Linked DNA regions of Rattus norvegicus. The protein of the gene in region 1 binds, or shares a complex with, the protein of each later gene. Links are inferred from orthologs where the notes say so. Each region holds a gene or a part of one and is shown in the gene's direction. Other genes may lie near its edges. The genes, in order: Drc1 and Drc12.

What was found.
Region 2: Drc1 (region 1) and Drc12 share a complex: the UniProt entries of both Homo sapiens proteins name them as parts of the nexin-dynein regulatory complex. The link is inferred for Rattus norvegicus from reciprocal best matches to the Homo sapiens genes DRC1 and DRC12.

Annotation. Positions count from the first base shown.
Region 1 is NC_086024.1:31,768,965-31,772,770, reverse strand, and holds part of Drc1 (dynein regulatory complex protein 1), read left to right. Parts: intron 1-2,412; coding exon 2,413-2,500; intron 2,501-3,388; coding exon 3,389-3,501; intron 3,502-3,806. UniProt on the Homo sapiens protein: Component of the nexin-dynein regulatory complex (N-DRC) a key regulator of ciliary/flagellar motility which maintains the alignment and integrity of the distal axoneme and regulates microtubule sliding in motile axonemes.
Region 2 is NC_086026.1:53,472,967-53,477,572, forward strand, and holds the start of Drc12 (coiled-coil domain-containing protein 153), read left to right. Parts: upstream 1-1,692; 5' UTR 1,693-2,007; coding exon 2,008-2,077; intron 2,078-2,921; coding exon 2,922-2,987; intron 2,988-3,879; coding exon 3,880-3,999; intron 4,000-4,445; coding exon 4,446-4,538; intron 4,539-4,606. UniProt on the Homo sapiens protein: Component of the nexin-dynein regulatory complex (N-DRC), a key regulator of ciliary/flagellar motility which maintains the alignment and integrity of the distal axoneme and regulates microtubule sliding in motile axonemes.

The DNA of each region.
Region 1 (3,806 bases):
AGCGAAGCCCTCTGCTTCCTAGGAGATAGATAACCCTGCTCTGAGGCTATGCCCGCTGTGGATGCTGGTCCTCTCTGCTGCCTGGCGTTGGCTCCTTGTTTTAAGGATGCTTATCCACGAGGCTTCTTCCCAAAAACCAGGGTCACTGCAGGCTTGGGTGACCTTTGAAGGTCTGCAACAGAACATTGTAAACATGGACAACAATCTGCAGGATTCAGGACTCTCCCTTAAGTGCCGAGCCATCCTCCAGGTCCTAAGTGCCTGTTTATTGCCATTTGTAAATGCTATGCAGTGACAAAGTAAAACAAACTAAGAAATCCTCAGAAACGGAATCCCTTTTCTTCCTTTTTAAAAAAGACTTATTTATTTCGTGCATGTGAGTACACTGTCGCTGTCTTCAGACATACCAGAAAAGGGCATCAGATCCCATTACAGATGGTTGTGAGCCACCATGTGGTTGCTGGGATTTGAACTCAGGACCTCTGGAAGAGCAGTCAGTGCTCTTAACCGCTGAGCCATCTCCCCAGCCCTGAATCCCTTTTCTTAGGCTATTCCTTTTGTGTTTGTTGCATTGTCAGCTGTGGCAGGCACAGCCCCACTCTGGCTCAGAGGCCGCCCAGAACAGTCTCCTTTTTTTCTTCCAAGGACCCCAACTCAGATAAAACCAAAGTCAGGAGAGAATTACAGAAGGAGCTGGTGTGAGTTGGAATTGGTATTTCAAAAGATCTGAGGGCTGGCGGGATGGCTCATCGGGTAAAGACACTTTTGATCGTGACCTCTGTCCCCGGTACCCAGGAAGTAGGAGAGGCATGACTCCTCCAAGCTGAGACTTCACATGCACACCGTATGTAGCATGTCTTCCTGTCAGTGGAGGAACAAAAAGTAATGTAATTATTTTGTCAGTGTTTTGGCTTCGTACGTGTATATACCCCTTGTGCATATCTGGAACCAGATTGGTTAGGTGTCGTGAGCTGTCATGCGGGTGCTGGGAATCTAACCCAGGTCCTCTGGAAGAGCAACGGGCACTCCTGACTACCGAGCTGCCTCTCCAGCTCTACAATGTAGTTTTAGAAAAGACGTATTATTTTAGAAGATTTTTAAGGGTTGGAAAGATGGCTCAATGGTTAAGAGCTTAAGGCCAGTCAGTCAGACTGGGCTCCACAGTGAGGCCCTGTTGCAAAAAGGAAGAAAACTTCACCTCCTTAAGATTGGGCTGCCGGGCATTTTCTTAGTGACTGATGGGGGAGGGTCCAGCCCATTGTGGGTGGTTCCACCCCTGGGCTGGTAGTTCTGTAAGAAAGCAGGCTGAGTAGGCCATGGAGCAAACAAGTGAGCAGCACCCCTCCAAGGCCTCTGAATAGCTCCTGCCTCCAGGTCTTGCCCTGGTTGAATCCCTGTCCTGACTTCCTTTGCCAATGAAGACTTAGAAGCTTAAACTGATTAAACCCTTTCTCCCCCTAGTTTGCTTTTTGGACATAGTGTTTCCTCACAGCAGTAGAAACCCTAAGACGTGATGCACCTGGATTCCCTGGGGTCTATGCTGAGGCGTCTGGAAGCTACCGGCCTGGCTGCCCATTGGGAAGGTCAATTGACAGACAGTGATGGTCCATCTGTTCTGACCCGAGGGTTTTGTGCTTTCATAGCTGGCAGCTCTCAAGCTGTAGCTTTTCCAGTTGATCATTATCGCAGCCCCAGTCAGTGAGGCAGGGCCTGCCAAAGATAAGGAAGTCCATGCTGCCCTGGGCTGGTTTTAGTGTCTGTGAAAGCCCATTTACCAAGCACACATGCTCCCTTCTAGAATCCAATATGAAGCCCAAGGGCAGGATTCAGAGGAAAGTAAGGCCGGAAATGTGGCAGATGGCATCAGCCGGTGTCCACACCTGGTTCCTTTTCCTGCTCCTGCAAAAAAGGAGAGAATTTACGTCAGCTCATAATTCTCAGCAGGGTGGGAGGTGAAGGGCCTTGTACAGAGGATCCCAGCCAGGAAATGTCTTCCACAGCGGGTGCTGGGTCTTCCCATCTCAGCCACACACACAGTCCAGATCCCTGTTCCAGGTAATTTTGCATTCTGTCAAACTGACGGCTCCAACCATCAGGGGACTTGATAGCTCCCAGTCCTTTTCACCTGACTAGATTTACTCAAAGATGGCTTTGTATTCTGAGGTTCTCCATTCTCCTTTATTTGCTTCTAGTGTGGGTTTTTGTTGTTGTTTGGTTCGTTGGTTTGGTTTTTGGTTTTTTGAGATTAGGTTTCTCTCTGTAATAGCCCTGGCTGTCCTGGAACTGGCTTTGTAGACCAGGCTGGCCTGGAACTCATAGAGATCCACCTGCCTCTGCCTCCCTGGTGTTGGGGTTAAAGGCGTTGTCTAAACACAGAGTACGGCCCTCATGACCGCATTGTTTCTGCCACAGGGAAGCTCTGGGAGAGTATTTGGATGGCAAGAAGGAGAGTGAGGAGGAGCAAAGCAAGAGCTACAAACAGAAAGAAGAGAGCCGACTGGTATGAGCCGACTGGTGGCCGCGGAGTCTCTTAGCCTGGTCTTCATAGTCAGGCAGGCAGGAAGTACACCTGTGTTTCGTTCTCTAAGTGGGGCTGAACTGGAGTCTATCTTGTTTTGGGGTTCCCTAGGAGTGAGCTTTCAGACTGTGGGCTCCTGCCAGAAAAGGCAGCGCATAAATATGGGGACCCAAGAGACAGGGGCAGGAGTGCTCAGCCTCAAGACTGGCCTAGGATACAGTATGAGTTGGCCCCAAAAACAAACAAATGAGAAATTGGGTGGGGGTGACTCAGCGGCCAAAGTGCTTGTGTCAGAAGCACAGGTACTGGAGTTCCGATCCCCAAACCCATGTAAATGCAAGGTGGGCAGGGTGGCAGAGATGGGGAGTCCAAGGCAAGCTGGCTTAGAATCCACTGTGTAAGGCTGGTCGATGGTACACACCTTTAGTCCTAGTACTGGGGAGGCAGAGGCAGGCAGATCTCTGTGAGTTCAAGGCCAGCCTGGTCTACAAAGGGAGTTCAGGATAGCCAGAGCTACACAGAGTAATCCTGTCCAAAACAAAACACTGTGAAGACTAGGCTGGCCTTAAAACCATAGATCCACTTGCCCCTGCCTCTGCCACCTGAGTTCTACTATTAAAGACATAAACTACCATGCCCAGCCTTAATTTTTTTATAATTACATTTTATTTATTTTGTGTGCCCCGGGTTGTGCATGCCACATTGCATGTGGCTGTCAGAGGACAATTAGTGGCAGTTGATTCCTACAGTGTAAGCTCCCGGGGTTGAACTAAAGTCTTCAGGCTTGGCAGCAAAGGACACTTACACAGTGAGCCATCGCACAGCCCAGAATGTTCTAGCTTCACAGATTGCCATCTCTTTGTTTTCCAGAAACTGACTAAACTCCTGCTCTGTGGGACTGAGTTGGTGACAAATATTCAGGTGGCTGCAGACATAAGAGAGATCCACAGGAGGGTTGAGGAAGAGGAGACAAAGCGGCAGCGGTAAGGGATTGGCTACATTCGTGTGCTGATGTGGCCACCCTTCAGCTCTCCAAGTCCCTGGAACGAAAATTTTCCACCCTGAACGAAAAATTGTCTCATGGAATCCTCTTTCTGTTCCTTATGAATCCATAGTCCTCCTTTTCCAGTCTCCTCTCTCCCTCTCTCCTCCTCTCCCTCCTCTCCCTCCCTCTTCTCCCTCCTCTCCTTCTCTCCCTCTCCCCCTTCCTCTATCCTCTCCCTCCCTCCCTCCTCTCCTCTCCTTCTCTCCCTCCTTTCCCTTCTCTCCCTCCCTCCCTCCTCTCCTT
Region 2 (4,606 bases), on another chromosome or scaffold:
AAAGTGTGCACGGGGTCACTAGCTCTACGTTACAGGGGCTACAAGCATCACAAAGACAAGTAGGACTCTTTGCTCTATAAAATGTCCAGAGTGCGGGCTGGAGACATGGCTCAGCAGTTAAAAGTGAGTACTGCTTGTTCAGAGGACTTGAGTTTGGTTCCCAGCACCACACTGACGGGTAGCTCACAGAAACCTGTAACTCCAACTCCAAGGGGCCCCAGTGCTCTCCTTGTAACCCTTTTTCTTTTTCTGGCACTTTGCTCACAAACCCACACACACACACACACACACACACACACACACACACATATATATATATATATATATCAACTAAAAATAAAAAAATAAAACTCTTCTACAATATCTAAAGTGCCACGGGGTTAAAATAAGCAGGCATTGACCTGCTTGCTCTGTACAGGTGAGATTGTATAGTCCCACATCTTGTGTTTGTTCCTGCAGATTTGCTTCTGGTAATATGAAATTGGCCAAAAATTTCAGGGACTAGAATAGACAGACGTGCCTAAAAAGGATCTGTAGGGTCCATAATCCACAGGGAGGAAGGCTTGTTTAAATTCTATGTATGCTGACATTATGGCGCCCAGCGACGGCACAGTTCCAGATGGAGCGCTCCCAGCTGGAGGGGAGGCAGTAGTAAGCTACCTGTCGTCCTCTCTGCCCACAATCAATTTTTAATTATATATAAGATACTAAAAAGCACCCGCTAAAGGGAATCTCCCCCAATATCGCCCAAGAAATTACTAAACTGCAAATAGGGGATGCAGAAGGTCAAGCAGGTCCACTAGAGGGAGCCCTAACCAACTTTATGCTGCAGGGTGCCTGGGGGCTGCAGATTAAACCTCATAAAGAAATAGGGGGAGGAGGCAAGATTGACTGGGAGAGAAAAAAGGTCCTGCAAACACACCACCGAAGTCAGGAGCTACAAAACGTATACACCAAGAAATTCAAGCTGAGGGGCTGGGGATTTAGCTCAGTGGTAGAGCGCTTACCTAGGAAGCGCAAGGCCCTGGGTTCGGTCCCCAGCTCCGAAAAAAAGAACCAAAAAAAAAAAAAAAAAAAAAAGAAATTCAAGCTGAGCAAAATTAAGTAGCTGAACTCATGGACTCTGCCTAATGTGTGCTCCTCTCTCTGGGTGGGTCAACATCCTGAAGTCCATGGCTCCACATCTTGTAAGTGGAAAACTTTCAACACCTGTGCCAGAAAGTGTTTCCCTCACATATCACAGTAGCCTTTTGAAGCATGAACCTTCGTTTTCAAAGTAAATAACATCACTGTATTCTCGAGAACTCCAGATATAAAGTAGCCATCATGGCTACTGTCCCTGCCTTTCTGCTATGTCTGTAAAACACTGTTCTCCAAGACTAAATTTCTAGATTCCTAGCCTAGAGAGTCTCAGGCAGTGTAGACATGAAAAATAGCCATTCAACTCCAAAGCTTTTCTTTAGGGCTGGGACATGGACGTGAGAAGAGAAGCTTCCCTTTGGTTTAGCTCACCACCTGCCTGTTTCCCAGTTGCCCGGACAACCTGCAGTCTCCAGAAACCCAACATCCCAGTTCTTGGTCCTGCCTCTTGAGGAAGTTTTACACCCTGGATTGGCTCCCAGGACCCGGGCTCCTCCCTAGGCTCAATCTGCTTGGATCTCTCTTTACTGTCCCCATGGCATTCCCCAGGGAGACACCACACAAGCAAGAGAGAGTCTTGCAGGTAGATAGGAGGGGGGAGAAGGCATACTTTGGGGAGAGAGAAGGGACCAGGTCCAGAAGTTTCTCAAGAGGCTAACTGCTGCACATAGAATTATTCTCCCTCACTGACTCCATCCCTCCCCAAGGGTCCCAGGAGACCAAGAAGCAAAGCTTCTAGAAAGTGTAAGATACACTGGAAGACTAGAATTCTGAAGCTCCAGAGACTCCCAGCTTGGTCTAAGAGTCAGGAAAGCATGTCTGTCTGCTGATCCACATAGAAGGTCTTCCCTTCGCCAGGACAGCAGGATGCCACCTAAAACCAAAGGAAAGGGGAGAAAAGCTGCCACACGGAAGAAGAAAAAGAATTCAAGTCCTGGTGAGTCACAGTGGGTAAAGGGCAGTGTCCCTGTGTGTCCTTGTCCACAGTCCACACAAAGGTCCTCAGAGGGAATCCAGCCCATCGGGCAACAAAATGGAGTGGGTTTCTTTTGGTTTTGTCTTTTGTTCTTTTGATACAGGGTCACGATGGAACCCAGGCAAGCCTCAAACATATCCTCCTAGTCTTCCTAGTGCTGGGATTGTCTGGTGCTCCCAGTGCCTGGCACTAGGCACTGCCACCACAGTTGGCTAAAGTGAAGCCTTCTTTTAAAAAAATATTTATGGGTTGGGGATTTAGCTCAGTGGTAGAGCGCTTGCCTAGGAAGCACAAGGCCCTGGGTTCGGTCCCCAGCTCCGAAAAAAAGAACCAAAAAAAAAATATTTATTTATTTTATGTATATGAGCACACTGTAGCTGACTTCAGACACACCGGAAGAGGGCATCGGATCTCATTTCAGATGGTTGTGAGCCACCATGTGGTTGCTGGGGATTGAACTCAGGACCTCTGGAAGAGCAGTCAGTGCTCTTAACCGCTGAGCCATCTCTCCAGCTCAAGTGAAGCTTTCTTGCCCTCCTCTTCAGAGCCTTGAGTCCAGGTTCCACCAGGCTGGGGAACCGGAGAATACTTCAATCCCCCTGGAGCCCCATCTAGCTCTTTGCCTTTGTCACAGTTTTCTTTTGAGCACCCACCAAGTACAAGGCAGTGAAGCAGTGAATTTGTCCGATTTTTGCCATTGAGTATCCCTCCCTCAGTGATTTTTCCTCCATCCTGCAAGAAGCATGGAAGACGGAGCAGGATCGAGATCAAGATAGCCTAAGACTTTGTGGTCTTGCCATGACAGGTGTGGAGGCTGAGGCCAAGCACAGGCTGGTGCTGCTAGAGAAGGAGCTGCTTCAGGACCACTTAGGTAAGAAGAGTGGAGCCTCAGGAGACAGCAGAGATGATGTCCTAATCAGGGTTATCCTCCTGCTGTGAGGAAACATCACGACCAAAGCAACTTGGGAAGGAGATGGTTTATCTGGCTTGTGCTTCCAAAGCAGTTTATTATTGAAGGAAGTCAGGCCAGGAACCCAAACAGGGCAGGAACCTGGAGGCAGGAGCTGATGCAGAGGCCATGGAGGGATGCTGCTCACTGGCTTGCTCCCCGTGGTTTGCTCAGCCTGCTTTCTTATAGAACCCGGGACCACCAGCCCAGGGGCAGCACCACCCATAGTGGGCTGGACCCTCCCCATCGATCACTCATTAAGACAATACCCCATAGGCTTGTCTACAGCCAGGTCTTAGAGAAGCATTCTCCTCCCTCCTCTCTGATGACTCTAGCTTGTGTCAAGTTGACACAGAACTATTCACGCAGCCCATGGCACATGGGGCATTTCTGGGTTCTTGGAGAACTGGCAGTTTAAACTATGTCCAGGGGGTGCTAAACCAAGCCAGCCATTCTCTGTTGGCAAAGATCGTGAAGAAAGGGTAGGCAGTGAAGGTGATGAAGAAGCTGTTCTTCTCCCCTGACTCTGGGAATGTAATCACAACCCCATTCGTGAGAGCTAAGTAGTCTACCATGAAGCTAACCTGCAGCTCAGGGAAGCAAGCCATTGTTTTTTAGTAACCAGAACAGGGAGTGACTATTGACTCTGTAGGAATAGAAACTTTATGGGTTTCAAAGGGGGATGGGGGGAGAGACACGGAATAAGAGGTTGACACCTGTCAAGTTCCCAGAGAGACACATAGTTCAAGGCTGTGGTGACTGAGTCCATGGCATCCTCAGCCAGACCTGAGCATGGCTCTGAGATTATTCACAGCTCTACAGAGGGAAGAGGCTTGCCGAGCCAAGGCTTCCGAAGACAGGCTGAAACAGAGGTTACAAGGGCTGGAAGCTGAACTGGAAAGAACCCAAAGTGAAGGGCGGGCTGTATATGCAGGTATGTTTGATCAGGTAGGCAGGAAATGGGCCTGGAGGAGGACAAGCAAGAGGGTCAGGGAATCCAAGGACGGGAAATGAAGAGGAATTCCAACTGCTATACTTCCGTGCGTAGGCAGTGTCCTGAGAATCAAAGATAGATCCCTGGTAGAAGGTGGATTCCCACATTCTAGAGTGTCTAATGCGCCGTGCTTAGTGTTTGCGTGATACAAAATATAGTCACAGCCCTTATCTTCTTCATCTTTGGGAGTAAGTAGGAGGAATTGCCAGAATCCCCCCTAAATATGGGGGAAAGGGTCTTGTTTCTTATCCCCCAAATTTTCAAGGTCTCCCGAGTTTCTTGGTTCTGTTCCTCCACCGAGACTCCACTGAGACATGTAACTTTGTTTCCTTTCTTCATGCCTCCATCCCTACCTTGGTTCCTGCTGCCTACGGCTCCTACCTCAGAGATGAGCCGCCAGCGTCAAGCCCTGCAAAAGGAGCTGGGGACCCGAAGCAAGCGGCTGGAGGAGGAAGTGAGAGGTCTAAGGGAGCGGCTAGGTAGGTCCCCATCCTAGCCCCTTCTTTCCCAGGCTCAGTAACAAGGCCCAGCATGGACTAGTGGACCT